2 linked regions of the Stegostoma tigrinum genome follow. The protein of the gene in region 1 purifies or fractionates together with the protein of each later gene. This does not show direct contact. Links are inferred from orthologs where the notes say so. Each region holds a gene or a part of one and is shown on either strand. Other genes may lie near its edges.

Evidence for each region.
Region 2: the proteins of tjp1a (region 1) and oclnb purify together in Homo sapiens (affinity purification with western blotting; 4 studies listed by BioGRID and IntAct, with this or other methods). This does not show direct contact. The link is inferred for Stegostoma tigrinum from reciprocal best matches to the Homo sapiens genes TJP1 and OCLN.

The regions. Positions count from the first base shown.
Region 1 is NC_081389.1:26,743,974-26,754,845, reverse strand, and holds the start of tjp1a (tight junction protein ZO-1), read left to right. Parts: upstream 1-6,539; 5' UTR 6,540-6,771; coding exon 6,772-6,804; intron 6,805-10,872. UniProt on the Homo sapiens protein: TJP1, TJP2, and TJP3 are closely related scaffolding proteins that link tight junction (TJ) transmembrane proteins such as claudins, junctional adhesion molecules, and occludin to the actin cytoskeleton.
Region 2 is NC_081356.1:101,344,611-101,354,841, forward strand, and holds the start of oclnb (occludin b), read left to right. Parts: upstream 1-5,959; 5' UTR 5,960-6,173; coding exon 6,174-6,325; intron 6,326-10,231. UniProt on the Homo sapiens protein: May play a role in the formation and regulation of the tight junction (TJ) paracellular permeability barrier.

The sequences.
Region 1 (10,872 bases):
AGTAATATGAACCTCATATACCAGCTGAGTAGCAAAGCACAATAACAAGGATGAAGTAATATGAACCTCATATACCAGCTGAGTAGCAAAGCACAATAACAAGGATGAAGTAATATGAACCTCATATACCAGCTGAGTAGCAAAGCACAATAACAAGGATGAAGTAATATGAACCTCATATACCAGCTGAGTAGCAAAGCACAATAACAAGGCTGAAGTAATATGAACCTCATATACCAGCTGAGTAGCAAAGCACAATAACAAGGATGAAGTAATATGAACCTCATATACCAGCTGAGTAGCAAAGCACAATAACAAGGCTGAAGTAATATGAACCTCATATACCAGCTGAGTAGCAAAGCACAATAACAAGGATGAAGTAATATGAACCTCATATACCAGCTGAGTAGCAAAGCACAATAACAAGGATGAAGTAATATGAACCTCATATACCAGCTGAGTAGCAAAGCACAATAACAAGGATGAAGTAATATGAACCTCATATACCAGCTGAGTAGCAAAGCACAATAACAAGGATGAAGTAATATGAACCTCATATACCAGCTGAGTAGCAAAGCACAATAACAAGGATGAAGTAATATGAACCTCATATACCAGCTGAGTAGCAAAGCACAATAACAAGGCTGAAGTAATATGAACCTCATATACCAGCTGAGTAGCAAAGCACAATAACAAGGCTGAAGTAATATGAACCTCATATACCAGCTGAGTAGCAAAGCACAATAACAAGGCTGAAGTAATATGAACCTCATATACCAGCTGAGTAGCAAAGCACAATAACAAGGCTGAAGTAATATGAACCTCATATACCAGCTGAGTAGCAAAGCACAATAACAAGGATGCTGTGAGTAACCAGGTAGACTCAGAGTGATTGTACACTAACAGATTGAATGAAAAGTCTGGAGATACAAGCTGGTTCAGGCCATGAGGTGGGTTGCGTCTGAGTGTGCAGGTCCTTACTGTAGCATTACAGTGATCTTGCTGATACAGCATTGAAGTATCTTGTAAGTGTATCTTCTGAGATGTGTCTTGCAGGTTCTAAGAGCTAGCTCCCACTGGACATGGGTTGTTTGTGGCCAGTGTCCGCGGAGCATTCCCTGAAAAGTGGTGCCAAGTGTCTAACATGGAGGTTGTTTGAAGCATGCTGAATAAGCTCACCCTGGTTTTCTTGTTGAGGTTTCCTGACATTGAGTTGTTTGGCAAGTTTGGTAAGAAGGGAAACTAAATATTTATGAGGTGAGTTCGACTGTTACCAACATGTTTAACAAACAGTAGTCCCTGTCAATGGGCAACTCGCCTTTGTTGAGCAAGAATTTCACCACACCACTTGTGAAAATAATATTAGATCGTGAGAATTGCTCCCAATATCAAGATGGGTCTCACTGTTACCAACGTGTTTAACAAACAGTAGTCCCTATCAATTGGCAACTTGCCTTTGTTGATCAAGAATTTCACCACACCACTTGTGAAAATAATATTACATCGTGAGAATTGCTCCCAATATCAAGATGGGTCTCACTTCCTGATGCTACCACATAACCTATCTTAGTCCATGTTACCCCTATGTTTCTTTTGACTAAATGAAGGAAATGACATTCTTGCTTGACTAACTTATTTGAAATTTTTGAAAAGGTATCTGAGATGTAATCGATGGAATGAAGTTGTGTAATTTATCTGGCTTTTCAAAAGGTCTTCAATAATGAGCCCCCAATTAATGTATAAAAGAAGTTAAAGATTATGGAATCTGGGGATAAGTGGCAGAATGGACCATGAACTAGTTTAAAAGCAGTAAGCAGACAATGGGAGTAAAGGTTAGTCATTCACAGTAATAAAAGTTGGGAAATGGTGTTCCGCAAGAGTACGTGTAGCAGCATTGGGATTTATGATTTGGACTTTTGATCAAAATATTTTCTCTAAATTTGCATATTATACAGGGATAGTCAATACTTCAAAGGACTGTAATAAATAGTAAGAAAATATTCATAAACATGAAGAATGGGCAAATAATTTGCATGTTAACATCAGTGCTGATATACATGAGCAGGGTAGAAAAATTAAGGACTTATTACTTGGTAAATGAAAGTCTAGGTAGGTTAGAGCAACAAAAGGATCATGGAGTACAAAAGCACCAATCACTAAAAGTTGTCACAAGTTATTAAGGCCACCAAACCAAAACCAGGTGGCATAACGTGAGATAACAAGGTGTAGAGCTGATTGAACACAAAAGGCCAGGCAGTATCAGGGGAGCAGGGAGGCTGACTTTTTGGGCCCAGATCCTTCTTCAACGAAATGTCAGCCTTCCTGCTCCTCTGATGCTGCTTGGACTGCTGTGTTCATCCAGCTCTACAGCTTGTTGTCTCAGATTCTCCAGCATTTGCAGTTCCTATGATCTCTGGCATAAAGTCAGCTTTCTTCTGAAACCATAGAATTGAAATGTGGTGAAGCTTTTTTGTGTATCTGTATTAAATCTTGGAAGACCATAATTGCAGTCCTGGAAGAATGTGCACATGTAGTGAAGAGGGTGAGAAGAAACTTAACAAGGATAATACTGCAATTCCTGCTCAGATCAGATCATATCCTATAATTTCAGGTTAAAATTTTAAAATAGAAAAAAAAATTGTTTTGACAACCCACCATTCAATGAGTTTTTTTCTGCATAATGTCCTCTCACAAGAACATAGGAAATAAGAGCAAGACTAGGTTATACTTTCAGCTGCACTATTCCGTGAATTGATAGCTGATTCTCATTTTCAACTTCACTTGCCTTCCAGAGCCTCAATTCACTTAGAAACCAAAAGCCCATTGATTACATCCTTGAACATACTCATCAACTGAGCATGCATGGTTCCATGAGATAGAGAATGACAAAGATTTTCAACCGTCAGAAAAAACAAATTACCCCCCATAAGAGTCCTTTCTGTCCAACCTCTTATCCAGAGAATGTGATGCCTAAGTTCTGGTGTCCTTCCAACATTGACCCTGTCTAATCCCCACTGAAATTTTTACTCAGCCTAAAAGTATCAACTTCCTCGTACTCATTTGGAATTGATTTTCTTCCTACTCCATTAGAATTCTGGTTTCAAATGCTTTGATCATTACGTAAGAATTTGTTTTATTCTTTCACAGTATGTGGGCATTGTTAGCCAGGTTAGTGTTTGTGCCCTGGCCAATGGAAAATGCACCAAAAAGAAATAATGTATTTTTTGAAAGTGTAAGGATAATTGAATGAAACGTTACAATACATTTACAAATGATTCTATATTTAATTAGATGCATAGTATTACATGATTCTGTTTTGATTTTACATCTAGTTGAGTTCCATGACTCACCTTGATTCTAGTTTTCAGCTTTCTTTATAGGAACAATCCATTCTAACAATGCAGAATTTACACCTTGTCTGCACAAAACATCAGTTCCAATAGGAACTAAATATATTTGTCCTAATGCCAAGTCACTGATCCGAACTTTTTCTTTCTTTTTCTCTCCGTAGATACTGCATGATTTGCTGTTTCCTTTATTTTCTAGTTTTACTTTAGATTTCCAGCACCCGCTGTACTTTGAGAACATCTCTCTTGTGAGAGAAGGCAGGAAACCACAGCAAGTTATATCTGAAATACTTGTGGTTTAAGAGTTTCCTGCCACATTCCCACTGTCACTTAGATTAGTGACATCAAATCAACCAGCAAAGCCTGAATGCTGTATAGATTCTGCTTTTGCTTTAGTCTTGTATTAAATTATATTTTAAGTACAGCATCAACTGGGAAAACAAACTATAAAAACTCTTAAGCTGAATCAGCAATATGCAAACAGGAGGGGGATTGCACAACATAGGTATCCCCAAGGTAGATGTGGTCTTAACATGAATTAATTTTGCATTCAGTTTGAGGGAAAGAAGGGTTTGTCTAAGACAGTTATTTTAAACTTAAGTAAGAGCATTTATTAGAATTAGTTGAGGTACTGGGGAATTAAGTTAAGGGGTAGATCTGTGGAGATCTGTACAGATACAGTGGCAGAAATTTAAGGAGATATTTCAGAACAATTAGAACAAAGATGCATTCCAGTGAGAAAAATTTTAAGGGTAGAATACACCATCTGTGAGTAACTAAGGAAATACTTAAAGATAGTGTCCAGTTGAAAGAGAAAGAATACAATTCCATCACGATTAGCGGTAGGTCAGAGATTAGTCAAAATAGTGCTTAGAGACATCAGGATACTTATATATAATACATGGGATAATGGCATCGAGATAGAAGAACTGCCATTATCTCATTATATGACAGAGCAGGTTTGATAAGCTGAATGGGTCTCCTGGGCTGAACCATCTCTCATTTCGGCCCTCATGCTCTCTCTTCTCTCCCACAACAAGGACAGGGTCCCCCTACTTCTCACCTACCATCCATCAGCATCCACATACATATGATCATTAGCTGCCATTTCACTACCTCCAATGGGTTGCCTCTACCACACGCACATGCCCCTCCCTTTCATTGTCAGCCTTCTTTAGCGACTGTTCCCCCAGGGACACCCTGGTCCACTTCTTCACTCCCAACATGGCCCCCAGGGCACCTTCCCCTGCAATCACAGAAGGTGTAACACTTACCTAATTGCTCTCTCCCTCCTCACCATCCAAGGCGTGAACACATCTTCCGTTTGAAGCAGCCCTTTACCTGTTTCACTCAATCTAGTCTACTGCATTATCGGCTGCTTACGATGTAGTCTCTATACTGGGGAAACGAAGTGCAGACTGGGTGACTGTTTTGTGGAACACTTATGGTCTGGCTGCCAAAATAACCCTGAGCTTCCAGTTGTCTGCCACTTCAACATGCCATCATCTTCCTTTGCCAACATCTCTGTCTCAGGTTTGCTGCAGTGCTTCATCAAAGCTCAGTATAAGCTGGAAGAACGGCACCTCATTTTCTGCTTGGGAACTTTGCAGCCTTCTGAACTCAATATCGAGTTCAACAATTTTGGAGCTGGAGCACCTTCTCCCATGTCCTTACTCCAAAAGCCACACACCTGGCCTTGTCATCACATGGGCTGTGGAAAGAAAGACGGGGGTCAATGGACCCAAACATTAACTCTGCTTTCTTTCCATGGGTGCTGCCAGACCTGCTGAGTTTTTCCAGCAATTTTTGTTTTATTTTCTGACCTCCTCCCGTTTCTATTTTGCATGTTTTTATGTAAAAAAGAAGCAACAATGACGAAGAGAATAATGAGGAGGGAGAATTTTTATGGGAGTACAAGAGAATAAATGCTGGAAATATAGAACAGATATTCCACATGTCTGGGGAATTAATGAGGGAGAATAAGCAAATAGAAGATGAATTCATCAGATTTTGTGTTTGTCTTCACTGCAGAGTACACAAATAACATTTTCAAAATAATTGTAAATCAAAAGTTGAAAGGGAGGAAAGAACTTAAAAAATATTATCACCAGGGAAAGGATGTTAATAAAATTATTGGAACTAAATTAGCACAAGTCCCCAGGTCCTGATGGGCTTTGTCCAAGGATCTTAACATTGATGGCTGCTGGATGTATTGGTTTGAATTTTGAATAAAGAAGATTTGTTACTGAAAAAGTCCCACCACGTTGAAAGATTATGAATTTGACTACTCTCTTCAAGAAAGAAGGGAGATAGGAAGCTACAGGCCAGTCAGTTGTCATGGGGAACATGCTAGAGCCTTGAAGTAGTGGTAGTACAACAATTGGAGAAAATTCTGAAGGACAGGTTTAATCTCCACTTATGAAGGCAATTTGATTAGGGATAGTCAGCATGGCTTTGTCAGAAAGAAGTAATTGTAACAAATTTGACTGAACTTTTTGAGGAGGTGACCAAGTGTGAAGATGAGGATAATACAGTAGATGTAGTTTATATTGATTTTGGCAAGTCTTTGACAAGGACGCACATATGGAAGGCTGATAAAGAGGATAAAATCACATGGGAGCCAGGATAACTTGGCAAGTTGGATCCAAAATTGTCTTCATAGTAGGAGACAGAGGATGGTGGTAGAAGGCTATGTGAGTGGAGATCAGTGCACAGTATTTATCTACAATCACAAACAACAAGGTAGACCAATATTCATGGAGGCGTGGAAGAGCGAGTGATAACTTGGGTTGTGTACGACACAAAAGGTTGGCTTCGTGGTTAGCAGTGAGGAAGAAGTTCTTGGGCAGCTGGAACTTAACCGTGATAAATGTGAAGTGAGGCCTTTTGGAAGAAGTAACTTGGGAGTACTCTGGGAAACTCAGAAGAACACAGGGTTCTTGCATGGGTGTACACGGATCCCTGGGGCAGGAGTTCGGTGGGGAAGCTAGAAACCGAGCCTGGAGTTCGAGCCCGGAGCTACAGACCGAACCCAGGGGCTGGATGCCAGTGATTGATCCTCTTCGTCGTGCGCGCGGCTCCACCATCGAAGCCGAAGCCGAGACGCGCGGGGAAACTGGCCCCGCCCCTCTGCCATCAACCAGTAAAAAGGGGGCGTTACCATATGACGAGCCGGGTGTGCTCCTATTGGTTGGTGCTGAGAGTCCCGCGGCCTTGTTGTTTTGTGCTTGTGCAACCGGCCACCGGAATTCGGGAGGAGACTGAGGATAGTCTCTTCGAGCTCAGAGGGCACGGGGAAAGCTTCGATTGAGTGGCTGTTTTCTACTGTCGCACTAGAATGCTCGCTTCCAATCTGTGAGGAAAGGCAGTGTAGCTGAGCGAGGTCGGCGTTTGTGCTTTTCCTTCAGAGAACTACGAAAACAAGATGTCCGCCCGGGTGGCCGGAGCAATGGGCAAGGTATGTGGGGGTGGAGCGGGGGGCGAATGAAGAGCGAGGAAAGAGGAGGGATGGGGACAGGAGGAGAGAGAGAGTGAGAGGACAGTTTGGGTAAGCGGGAGTTTTGGCGGAGGTGGTGAGTTCGGGATAATTGTGCAGGGAAAGGCTGAAAGTTAGCGGACGTGAACCTACTGTAGTTGGTTAGGGCAGGGGGAGGTGGAGGTGAGGCAGTGGAGTGCGAGGGTGCGTAAGTGAGGAGATCAATAAAAGGGCGGTGGTGAAACCCCGTCGACGAGACAGATACTGGTCTGTTCGTCTTAGGCTCTGTCTGGAAGTTTCCGTCGGCATCCTGCCCTGACACTGGAGGACTTTGTGCTTGCGAGAAAGGCGGGGGTATTGGGTACGACATATCAGAGGGTCCGCCAGGCACACGGCCACTCTGGTCAGGCTCTACCACGGAGTGGGCCAATGACGAGGGAATTGATAGACATTAACCGCATCTTAAGTCTGGGTTCAGTTCCTTGTCATCTCTCTTTACTGCCACCGACATTTAATTTATTGCTGGGTCTAGTTATCGCGAATGTATCGGTTTACAAACTTTCACTTTGCTGTTTGAGCTTAAAGTCTTTCCCGACATTTTTGGAGATCAGAGAGTTGGCATTTTCTTCGTAAGAAGACTTTTGGCCAGGACTTCGTTGTCCTAAAGTGAGGTCTGGTTTCAGTTCGATGATGAAACTTTTTGGTATGCAGGAGAGGAGAAAGGGTGCAACGAATATTTCTGCTGTGTAACGCTGGTTAAATCGTCATGAAACTAATAGACAGATGTATTGAGTTTCCACTGACAGGCGGCTGCGAAAGCACAGATCTGAGTTAGTTTGTGCTTGTACGTGTTAACCGACCTTGGATACTTTTGAGTTGAACTCGATGACAGTGAGCTGCAATATTAAATTCGTTTTCTTGTACTATCTGTTATTAAACTGAACAAAAGCCCTTTGAAAATATAAAGTATTCAGATGTTGCATGGTCAATACATTCTTAGTGAAGTGATATTTTGAACTTGAAAAGTATGGTCTATGTAGTAATCGAATTTGTTTAACCAAGTTGAAGAATTGATTTCAACTTTGGGTTTTTAGGGGCGAATGGTGATACTCCAGTCTGATAAACTCTTGTCTTAAGTTTCTGTATTTGCAAATCAATTTCATGGGGTAGGGGATGTATTAAAATTGTTCATTCTGCGCAGACAAGCTGTAAATACATGCAAGTCCTGCCTTAGTTCATTTTGCAAAAGCTGGCATGTCTATAAACACTTCAAGGTAGTACAAGCAAAGAGAGATCTTGAATTGAAAACATGGAGAAATGCGACCACAAAACCAAGTTTTAAAAAAACGAGAGGTCGTGGCTTCTGTGAATCAGGAACAAGAACAGAAGTTGCTGGAAAAGCTTAGCAGTTTTGGCAGCATCTGTGACTCTTCAGACCAGTACCTGTTGTGTCAACAAGGATCCACCACTGCCCTTTTAGATCTGATATGGCTCTTTGAAACAAATGCTCCAATGTTCATAGAACTTGGCTTTTATTTGAGAAATGTAGCAAGATTTGAAGAGTTCAGGGAAATCAGTGTGTTGGAATGTGGTGGATAAGGAGCTCAGCAGGCTGGAGTTCCCAGTGTGGATGGTATAAGCTGAGACCTAAAGTTGCATCAAAGCATAAATATAGTTGTAGGTGAGCATTCTGCAGGACATACCTTGGATGAAGCATGTAGAATTGTAATAAATTATAATGCAACTGCATTTGAAACAAATAAATACATTGGGTTCTTCAGAATTGTACTGTTTTGCAGTCAGTTTTAAGAATAATATGATTTGGAAACATTATCTGTCTACAGTCACCAAGTCAGGAATAACTTGGCTGGTACAAAGTGAATCAGTCAAGTTACCCCCCCAGAACGCATCTTTTGTGTCACTTGTTTCTCCTTCAGGAAAATGCAGGTTTCCTGTTTTTGCTGCATGTTTAGTAGCAACTTTACAATTTTGGACTGATGCCCACGAGAAGCCAAGTTGAAGACTAAGGTTAATTCCAAGTAAAATCTATGTATCTAATTGGAAAGGAGAGGCTTTAATTCAGTCTTGACAAGATGTAATATGTGTTGATGTGAGTGTAAGAGTGGGGTACCAAACCCAATGAATGTTCCACAACCTCAATTATATGGCACAGATATTACATTATTTTTCAGCTTCCTGTTTGGCAATGGTAAATGCACCAAATTGCTTGGTTTTGTTTTAAACATCGATTTCAGAGAAGTTAGTTCTACGAATATTAGCAACACAGATCTCTAAACAATATATTTCAGCACTTGCCTTGTGGAAATGATGCTTGCGTTTGGGACTGAGTGCATTCAGTAATTTTGGCAACCTCCTGTAAAGTAGCATGGACCCTACCTTTTCGTATCAATGTTTGAGTACTGTGAGTGAAACTGAAATTATTTCAGTTTCCAGTGTCACTTCCTGTAATTGTGTAAAACTGCAACAAAATTCAACAATGGCAACAACTGACTTTTTTTGTATGCAGCTTGTAATGAAGGTAAACATTCCCAGACACTCTACATGGATGCATAATAAGAGGAAAACAGAGGCAAGAACAAAGAAGGCAGAGTTAGTCAGAGTCATAGATTCATAAAGCACGGAAACAGACCTTTTGGTCCGACTCGTTTATGCAGAGCATGTTCCCAAGTTAAACCTGACCCATCTGCCTGCATTTGAACCATATCCCACCAAACCTTTTCTAGTTGTGTACTTATCTAAATGTCTTTTAAATGTTCTGACTGTACCACTTCCTCTGGTAATTCATTCAATACATGAACCACTCTGTTTAATAAAATGTTACCCCTTGTGTTTTTTTTAAAGTTTTTTTTTCCTTGCGCATTAAAAAAGTCCTCGTTTTGAAATCCCCAACAGTAGGGGGTGGAAAAGAACCCTTGCTGTTTACCTTGTGCCCCGATGATGATTATCTAAACCTCTCGAAAGTCACACTTCAAACCTGTTGTGCTCCAGTGAAAATAATCCTAGCCTAACCAGCCATTTTTATAGCTCAAATCTTTCATTCCTGGCAACATTCTGGTAAATTGTTTCTGAACCCTGTCCAGTTTTAAAATAACCTTGCTTGGCAACCAGAACTGCGTACAGTATTCCAGAAGAAGCCTCACCAACGTCTTGTGTAACCTCAATATGACATCACAACTCCTAGATACAAAGGCCTGAGTAATGAAGGCAAGTGTGTTAGATTAGATTACCTACAGTGTGGAAACAGGCCCTTTGGCCCAACTAGTCCACATCGCTCCTTGAAGCACCTCACCCAGACACATCCCCCATAACCCACACACCCCTGAACACTTATTTAGCATAGCCAATCCACCTAGCCTGCACATCTTTGGACTGTGGGAGGAAACCGGAGCACCTGGAGGAAACCCATGCAGACGCGGGGGAGAATATGCAAACTCCACACAGACTCCCGCCCAAGGCTGGAATTGAACCTGGATTCCTGATGCTGCAGTGCTAACCACTGAGCCACCACGCCGCTCTATGTCGCCTTAGCCACCCTGTCTAGCCGTGACACACATTTCAATCAGTAGCTTAGTCAAAAAAGTGGATTTCAAGGAGGGCCTTCAAAAGGAAAGTATTTAAGTGGAGATGTTTGAGAATACCAGAAGAAGGGTCCTGGTCAGCACTGAAGAGTGCGCATCAAAGGCCCATAAGGGCATGACTTGTTTCATAGGGAAAATAGATAATGGGGCTTACAGAGGCCAGAACCATGCAAGAATACCGGGATGAAAATGTTAGCTTTTGACTACTGGATACCGTCACCCCAATGTTGACTGAGGGGGGCGGGGGTACTGGGTTTTGTGGAACTTGTTGCAAGTCAGAATGTTGGCAGCTATGTTATGAATCAGGTAAATTTTATATGGGTAGAGGATGGGAAGCCAGACGGTTGAGCTGTGGAACACTAAAGTGTGGATACAATTGTTTGGGATCTCAGCTGCAGTTGCACTGAGCTAAGGGTGAATGAGGCTACAGAGATGAGAGCAGGTGTCTTTT
Region 2 (10,231 bases), on another chromosome or scaffold:
AGATCTACAGGCAGAATGAGATCCAAATTCGACTCATAAAAATTGAAGATCTCAGATCATAGAATCTCTACAGTGTGGAAACAGGCCCTTCTGCCCAACAAGTCCACACTGACCCACAAAGGAGCCCATCCAGATCCATCCCCCTAATCTACACATCCCTGAACACTACGGGCAATTTAGCATGGCCAAACCACCTTGCTTGCGCATCTTTGGATTGTGAGTGGCAACCGCAGCACCCGAAGAAAACCCATGCAGACATGGGGAGAATGTGCAAATTCCACTCAGACAGTCACCCAAGGGTGAAACTGTACCTGGGTCCCCGGCGCTGTGAGGCAGCAGTCCTAACCACTGAACCACCATGCCATCCCGGTGCATAAATTCCACCGAAGGCAACACTAAGAAGAGGCAAGCAATATGGCAAGATCTGAGGTACTGCAAAGATAAAAGGGCTATAGCAGGGACCACACTAACTGCTTTAAAGATTAGACATACATCGCTGAAGTCCTTGGGGAAAGAAATAAGAGAGGTTAAAGACCCACATTTCAGGTAGTTAGTCCAAACTTTTACATAACAAATTACCATTTCTCTTAGTCTGAAGTGAACACATTATGAGACATAACCTATATAGGTTCCTAAAGTGGCCAAAGTTTCCGCTTTTCTTTCTTGCGTTGCACAGCCTATGCATTTAAGTGCACAGGCCTCTTAAATAACTTTTGCACAGCTATAAAATCACAGGAAAGTATGGAAAGAGTTTGACTTATGCTCAGTCTGTGTGGGAACTTCCAGGGTGCCATGTGGCACTTTAGCCCACAGGTTAAAGAGAACTGAGCAACATATTTTTAATTGGCTGGCCAACAGAAGACAGCGAGTGGTAGTAGAAGGAAAATATTCTGCCTGGAAGTCAGTGGTGAGTGGAGTTCCACAGGGCTCTGTCCTTGGGCCTCTACTGTTTGTAATTTTTATTAATGACTTGGACGAGGGAATTGAAGGATGGGTCAGCAAGTTTGCAGACGACACAAAGGTCGGAGGTGTCGTTGACAGTGTAGAGGGCTGTTGTAGGCTGCAGCGGGACATTGACAGGATGCAGAGATGGGCTGAGAGGTGGCAGATGGAGTTCAACCTGGATAAATGCGAGGTGATGCATTTTGGAAGGTCGAATTTGAAAGCTGAGTACAGGATTAAGGATAGGATTCTTGGCAGCGTGGAGGAACAGAGGGATCTTGGTGTGCAGATACATAGATCCCTTAAAATGGCCACCCAAGTGGACAGGGTTGTTAAGAAAGCATATGGTGTTTTGGCTTTCATTAACAGGGGGATTGAGTTTAAGAGTCGTGAGATCTTGTTGCAGCTCTATAAAACTTTGGTTAGACCGCACTTGGAATACTGCGTCCAGTTCTAGGCGCCCTATTATAGGTAAGATGTGGATGCTTTGGAGAGGGTTTAGAGGAGGTTTACCAGGATGCTGCCTGGACTGGAGGGCTTATCTTATGAAGAGAGGTTGACTGAGCTCGGTCTCTTTTCATTGGAGAAAAGGAGGAGGAGGCGGGACCTAATTGAGGTATACAAGATAATGAGAGGCATAGATAGAGTTGATAGCCAGAGACTATTTCCCAGGGCAGAAATGGCTAGCACGAGGGGTCATAGTTTTAAGCTGGTTGGTGGAAAGTATAGAGGGGATGTCAGAGGCAGGTTCTTTACGCAAAGAGTTGTGAGAGCATGGAATGCGTTGCCAGCAGCAGTTGTGGAAGCAAGGTCATTGGGGTCATTTAAGAGACTGCTGGACATGTATATGGTCACAGAAATTTGAGGGTGCATACATGAGGATCAATGGTCGGCACAACATTGTGGGCTGAAGGGCCTGTTCTGTGCTGTACTGTTCTATGTTCTATGTTCTATATTTTGTTTGGAGGAAGTGAGTGAAGTTTAAGGAGAAGTTCATAAACAAGCTCAGCTGGTGCTCTAGGAGGGAAGTGGTGTATGAAAACTAGTTGAACTGCTCGCATGTCGAGGAAGGTTTAGAGGGGCTGTTCCTCCATGATGAAATGGCAATGGTCAGGGTTAGGAACTGGAAATCTTTACAATGGCAGAGGGAATTTGAAGAGTAGCAGGGATAGGTGGGAAGACAATACAAACAGGAAAATAGTCAAAATGGCAAGAAGAAAGAGCTAAGATGTTGACGAAATGAAGCGTCTACCACGATTCTGAATAAGAGTCATTAGACTTGAGATGTTAATTCTGTTTCTCTCTCCACAAATGGCAGCTCTGCTGGGTTTTTCCAGCATTTTCTGTTTTCATTTCGGTCTGCCATGGTTTTCCTCTTCGTCGAGGAAGAAAAAAATGGGCTTTCTGGAGTTGGAAGGCCATAAGATTGGAGACGTGGGAGGTAGGTTTACAGCGATATGGGGTCCATGATGGTCTGGGAAATAAATGTTTAATGTTGTATTTCTGGTCCTGTAAGTAAGCAGTGTCTGATCAATCAATGATAATAAAACCAAAAGACAGAGAAACAGGCTATTCAGCCCACTGAGTCTGCTGTGCCATTTAATGAGATCATGGGTGATCTGATCATTCTCAACTCAGATGCTAGCTTTTTGTGAAACATAGATGAGGAGTCCCTAATCCCACAGTGCTGTAGCTTTCTGCAAAGTTTCCCCATTTAAAAAGCTCCTCTATTCTTCCTGTTCCAGTGAATAACCTCAGATTTTCCCACATTAAATTCCAGTTTTAATGAAATGTTACCAGTCCTGAAACATTAACCCTGTTTTTCTCTACAGGTACTGTTAGACCTGCTGTGTTTCGCTAGCATATTGTTTTCGTTTCAGATTTCCAGCATCCACAGTTCTTTGTGTTCATTCTGGCAATCCTCAATTTCATTTTCCCACCTTTACCATATAACCCTTGCTTCCTTTACTGATTAAAAATCTGTCTGTCTCAGTGTTCCCTATACATAACAACCCAGCCTTCACAGCCCTGTGTGGTAAGCAACTCTGCAGATTCATTATCCTCTGGGTAAGAAATTCCTCCTCAACTCTGTTTTAATTGTAAAACATATTATTCTGAGATTATGACACTGCTCCTATGCTACTCCACAAGGGAAAACTACTTTCCACATGCGCCCTGTTAAGTCCCTTAAGATTCTTTTATATTTCAACAAGGTTGCGTCTCACTTCTTCAGAACTCCAATGATTAAAGGCCGAATCCACTCAACCTTTCCTCCTAAGACAGTCATCCATCTCTGGTATTGGCCTAATGAACCTTCTCTGGGCTGCCTCCAATGCCATTACATCTTTCCTTAGATAAGGGGCCCAAAACTGCTTAACATATTTGAGACGAGGCTTAACTAGTCTGTGTACAGTTATTGCAAAACCTCCAAACTGTTATATACTATTTCTCGTGAATAAAAGCCAACAATGCATTTGCCATCCCATTTACCCACTGAACTTGGAATCATAGCTTTTTGTGATTCATGGATTTATTCATGATGCCACAATGCTACACCTATTTTCCATTCTTTCTCACCTATTCTTATAAAGTGTACAGTCCTAGAGTCATAGAGTTGTACAACATGGAAACAGACACTTCCATTAACTCATCCATGCTGGCCAGATAGCCTAAATTAATCTAGTTTCATTTGCAAGCACCTGGCCCAAATCCCTCCACACCTTTCCTATTCATCTATCTATTGGCAGGCCTTTCAAATGTTGTAATTGTACCAGCCTCCACCACTTCCTCCGGCAATTCATTTCAGACAAGCACCACTCTCTGCATGAAAAAAGTTGCCCCTTAGGTCCCTTTTATATCCTTCTTCTCCCACTTTAAACCTATGCCCCCTAGTTTTGGATCCACTACCCTGGGAAAAAGACATAGAAATATAGAAATTAGGTGCGGGATTAGGCCAATTAGCCTTTCGAGTCAGCACTATCATTCAATATGATTGTGGCTGGTCATGCAATCTTAGTATTCCATTCCCACCTTCTCCCCACATTTCTTGATCCCTTTACTGCAAGGGCCATGTCCAGCTCCCTCTTGAATATAAGTAATGAGCTGGCTCCATCAACATCCTGTGGGAGAGAATTCCACAGGTTCACACCTCTCTGAGTGAAGAAATTCTTCCTTATCTCAGGCCTGAATGGCTTGCCCTTATTCTTCGGCTGTGACCCCTCATTCTGGACTTCCCTAACATTGGGAACATTATTCTCACAGTTAGCCTGTCCAGTCCCATCAAGATTTTAATGTTTCTATGAGATCATCCCTCATTCTTCTAAATTCCAACAAGTACAAGCCCAGTTAATCCAGTCCTTCCTCAGTCTTGCCATCACATGAACCAATTTGGTGAACCTTCACTAGATTCCCTCAATAGCAAGAATGTCCTTCCTCAGACTCGGAGATTAAAACTGCACAACCAGACATTGACTATTCCCCCTATCCATGCCGCTCATGATTTTATAAGCATCTATGAGGTCACACCTCATAATTCATCTGCCGCAGTCAGTTTTCTCAGCTTCCTGGCATCCGTACTCTTGTCAACAGAGCTTCCGAGAACCTTGTATTGCAAGGGGCCAAGGCTCCTCAAGTGCAACCCCCAGGGTCTTCATACATGCCTCAGTGGGAGTCACACCCTCCTGACCCTAATGACTGACCAATTTTGAATAATTGTGGCACGGTGGCTCAGTAGTTAGCACTGCAGCCTCACAGCACCAGGGATCCAAGTTCAATTCCAGCCTTGGGCGACTGTCTGTGTGGAGGTTGCACATTCTCCCCACGTCTGCGTGGGTTTCCTCCGGGTGCTCCGGTTTCCTCCCACTGTCCAAAGATGTGCAGATTAGGTGGATCGGCCATACTAAATTGCCCGTAGTGTTCAGGAGTGTGTGGGTTATAGTGGGATGGGTTTGAGTGGGATGCTTTCGGGGCGGTGTGGACTTGTTGGGCCAAAGGGCCTGTTTCCACACTGTAGGGAATCTAATCTAATATAGTCTGAGTGGTGTGACAACACTCTAGACAATTTCCCCACTCCATAATGTAGAGCAATAGTGCAATTTTAATAAGACTCAGATTTGATCTAATTCACTGACTTTATTTGGCCATCCTTGCCCTGAATGCAGTCATATGAATATTTGCCTTTTGACCTGAGCAATCCCATATAATATCCTTGTTGACACTACGATAGATTCTTATCTTGAACAGGTGGATGTATTTGCATGCATAGCCTTTGCAAGATGGAGTTAGTTGGTCCAGCAACAACTGTTCTTTAGAATGGGGGACCGTGATTGTCTACAACAGACATTGATCATTAGGGTAGGGCGTGCACTCATCACGTGGATTTCCAGGCCGCTTAGTTTCTGTTGACAAATACTTCACCAAACCATTGAGTCATTGGCATTACACTCTGTCTGTCTGTTGTGGGGAAAATACCTTCTCATCGCATCACCTGTACTGCAGCAACTTCAAACTTGCGAAATAAATGCCACTGAAGGGGAAGTAACAAAATAAGATGATGGAAACACCAGTTTAAATAACAAGACTGAATGTTTTCTATGCGTTGTACGGCAATTGAATGACCAAAAATACGTCAAACCGGCATAAGTGTGAACGTGGCTGTTAGGTAACTTACAAAGAATATGCGACAAATTGATTCTGTTTTTGATATCTGATCAAATAGCAAATCAACGAAGCCTCCCCAATTTACACACATACCAAAAAAAAGCCTAACCTCAATTTCCAAGTTCACAATTACTGACAACTGAATTTTGTTTTGATAAAGCTGCGAGTTTCGAATCAGACGAAGCTCTCAACAGGATTGCATTGTTGTTTATGTTGGTGTGTAGTGAGGTGAAGGAGGGTGAGGTCTGCCTGTTACTTCACCTTCCCGCCCCCCTCCAGGGAGGTGCTGGCGGCTGTGCAGCCTATTGTCGGGAGGGTTTGGCGGGGACGTTTGCTCTCACTCTCACGGCAGGTCAGGTTTCACAGTGAGCAGCAACTATTCCACCCAACTTTTGCCGAAACACAGACTTTGAGGAGAGATAGGATTGATATCTCGATGCTTTAATATTGCCTATTTCCAGCCTATCAGTGGTTTTATATTCAACTTTTAAAGACAAACGTCAGTTATCAGTAATTCTTGATTTGGAAATTTCTGTCTGTGTAAATTAGGGAGCTTCGATCATTTGATTCTGATGTTGTATGTCTGGTGTTTGTTAAGGTTTGAGCGGGATTTGAGTTTGGAAAAGATAAGTGATTACAGAGGATTTAAACCTAATAGCGTCAACATGTCGTCGGGGCGAATGTACGACAGCCCACCTCCTTACCACCCTGGTAGCGAATACAAGTGAGTATCTCTCCAGTCACACAACTCGGCTTTTCTTTGTGAGAATTTCTTTATCTTCCGTGTAATTTATAATTATTAAGATCAACTTCGGTTCTACCTTAAGGTAGGATAAATCAGACTTGTGAATGAAATGTTTCAAGTTGCCTTCCCTTTCCTCATTCTCCTGAATGTGCTGGGGTGAGCTCCCACTGATCTCAGCTGCAGTTTTCACTTGGCTCAATTTTGTGTGAAGAGGTGAAGACGGTGTCCACCATTACCTCCTGTTTCTACCTGTTGTCTGTGTACGGTGACTGATCCCAACCCTCTCCTCAGTCGGGAACACTTCCCAATTTGTTAGAATCCACACTCAGTGCAATCTGGGATTTTCCTGGTAAGTGTTGCTTAGTTATTCACTATCTCAGAAATGGTTTGTCGTTACAATAATCGACTAAACCACAAGGAAAGGTTGGAGTTTTTTTTAACAGTGAAAAGCAAGATGGGGTGAACTTTAATTCCACCAGCAATTAATTCGTTTCAGTACGTTGCTATTATCACAGAAATTTAACTAATAGGGGCATTTCAGCATTCTCAATATTGAATACAACCAAAAGCAACAAAGTAGTTCCACCATATTCTGTGTGGTAATAATATTAAACAAATGTTGTACCTGTAACTAATAATAATCCTCTTGACCTGGTAGAAGTGTATAAAACTGAGAGCCATGGATAGTATTTATAGTCAGTACCTCTGTCCCAGGATGAGAATGTCAAATTTTCGGGGGCATTGCTTTAAGGTGAGGGGAGAAGGAGTTGGAAGGAGATGTGTGAGGCAGGTTTTGTTTTACTCAGAGAATGGTAGATACATGGAACAGCCTTGGGAGGTAGTAGAAGCAGAGATAATATCAACAGTTATGAGGTATTTAGACACATACATGAACAGGCAGGAAATGGAGAGGTACAGGCCATGTACAAGCTGATGGGATTAGTTTAGAATGGAATCATAGTTGGCACATGGTGGGTTGAAGGGCCTGTTCACGTGCTGTACTGTTCTGTAATCGCTGTTAATCCTCTGATAAGGGCGCAGGAGACCCGAGTTCAAGTCCCACCTGCTGCAAAGGTGTGTAATCACATCACATCACTGAACAGGTTAATTATAAAGTTCAAAATAAACCTCTGATCTAATGCTAGAATCTTGCTGCGCTCTGTAAGGTCTGGTCTACTGCCCCAGATGATGTCATTGTAAATGGAACATTTGTAGCTGACTGACAAACTGCGTAGAGTAGGGATCAAAATTGGGAGGATGCTGATCTGAATTGTTCAATGCCACACAATGCAGTATGTTGGTCTACTTGGACATCACTGAAATTAAAATAGGGATGGTAAAAGGATTTCACTTTAATCTATGTGCATACATTATATATTTTTGTTATGGATGGTGTGGAACTGTCTTTTTGTTTTGAATTTAATGTGTTATATATATATATGTTTATAATATATATAATATATACCGATATGATGAAATATATATATGAAAAACTGCAACCGCAGGAAATGCTACACTTGTCCCCACACCACCTCCCTCACCCCTATCCCAGGCCCCAAGATGACATTCCACATTAAGCAGAGGTTCACCTGCACATCTGCCAATGTGGTATACTGCATCCACTGTACCCGGTGCGGCTTCCTCTACATTGGGGAAACCAAGCGGAGGCTTGGGGACCGCTTTGCAGAACACCTCCGCTCAGTTCGCAACAAACAACTGCACCTCCCAGTCGCAAACCATTTCCAATCCCCCTCCCATTCTCTAGATGACATGTCCATCATGGGCCTCCTGCACTGCCTCAATGATGCCACCCGAAGGTTGCAGTAACAGCAACTCATATTCCGCCTGGGAACCCTGCAGCCCAATGGTATCAATGTGGACTTCACCAGTTTCAAAATCTCCCCTTCCCCTACTGCATCCCTAAACCAGCCCAGTTCGTCCCCTCCCCCCACTGCACCACACAACCAGCCCAGCTCTTCCCCTCCACCCACTGCATCCCAAAACCAGTCCAACCTGTCTCTGCCTCCCTAACCGGTTCTTCCTCTCACCCATCCCTTCCTCCCACCCCAAGCCGCACCCCCAGCTACCTACTAACCTCATCCCACCTCCTTGACCTGTTCGTCTTCCCTGGACTGACCTATCCCCTCCCTACCTCCCCACCTATACTCTCTCCACCTATCTTCTTTACTCTCCATCTTCGGTCCGCCTCCCCCTCTCTCCCTATTTATTCCAGTTCCTTTCCCCCCATCCCCCTCTCTGATGAAGGGTCTAGGCCCGAAACGCCAGCTTTTGTGCCCCTGAGATGCTGCTTAGCCTGCTGTGTTCATCCAGCCTCACATTTATTATCTATGATAATTGCAACTCTGGTTGTTCTGCATCATAGTGCAAAGCTCACAGAATATTAAAATTATGTGCACCCATTCCTTTGGATTAGAAAGCATACTGTTGGATGCATAGAAAATAAAGGTCTTTGAAAACAATTCATTTAGCTCCACCTGATTGTTTTTTTGGTGGTCTGAGAACCATCACATGTTAGATATTAAGCTGAGCAACAACAGAAAGTAAATTGGCCATGTGTATTTTTAAAAATTTTGAATTAAATGTAAATTCACAGCTGGAACATTTTACACAAAATAGATAACCATTTCCAGTTGAACTCTTGCTAATCAATTGAAAGCTGTTCAATATAGATCAGTCATGCAAATGCAGCGTGAATGGGAGCACGTGGATTTCTGCCACATCAGAGCTCTGAGACCACACCTGGTGTATTTGTTGGTGGAGCCAACTAATTCACCACAGACCAGTAAATGAACCCATTACTTTCCTGGGTTATGTCCACAGAGCATATCTATGGGCCAGATAAGAGCTGTACTTCTGTAGTGTACATTATTCTAAATCCACAATTTGATTAGGTTTTGATATGATTTAACACAAATATAGCTGTAGTCCACTTTTCAGGTGGTTAAAATTTCTCAATTTTTTTTGGTCTTTGTACAAATGCCCTCATGATGACAACAGGGGTCAGTTTGCTCAATTGGCTGGTTTACAACATGCAATGGTGGCAACATCACAGGTTCAATTCCTGCTCTGACTGAGGTTACCAAGAAGGTCCTTTCTCAAGCTTGCCCCTCACCTGAGGTATGGTGACCTTCTTGTTAAACCTCCACCAATCATCTCTCTTCTCTCTTTCTCTTTCCAGAGTAGCTCTATGGATTGCTTGGACTATGGCAGTTTTTCTTTTTTTGCGTTCATTTTTTACTTAAGTATTATCACTTGCAACTGAGCAATCTTTCCACAACCAAAATCACCATTTTTTTTACACTACTGAAACCGCAATGGTTAACACTGCTGCCTCACAGCACCAGGACCCAGCTTTGATTCCAGTCTGTGTGGAGTGTGGAATGTAGAACAGTACAGCGCAGTACAGGCCCTTCAGCCCACGATGTTGTGCTGAATTTTAACTGAAACTTAAGGTCTATCTAATCTCCACCCCTACCTTATACTAGCATCCATATGCCTATCTAATAGCTGCTTAAATGCCCCTAATGAGGCTGACTCCACTATCCTCTCCGGCAATACATTCCATGCCTCTGCCACTCTGAGTAAACAACCTACCTCTGACGTCTCCCCAATATCTATCTCCTTTCTCTTTACATCTATGTCCCCTTGTAAAAGCTACCTCCACCCTAGGAAAAAGCCTCTGGTTGTCTACTGTATCTATAACGCTGATCATTTTGTCCGCCTCTATCAAGCCACCTCTCCTCTGTTCTCCCTATGTATGTATGGGTTTCCTCCTGTAGTCCAAAGATGTATGGGTTAGGTGTATTGGCTATGCTAAATTGCCCTTTGGTGTGCAGGCTGGGTGGGTTAACCATGGTAAATGTG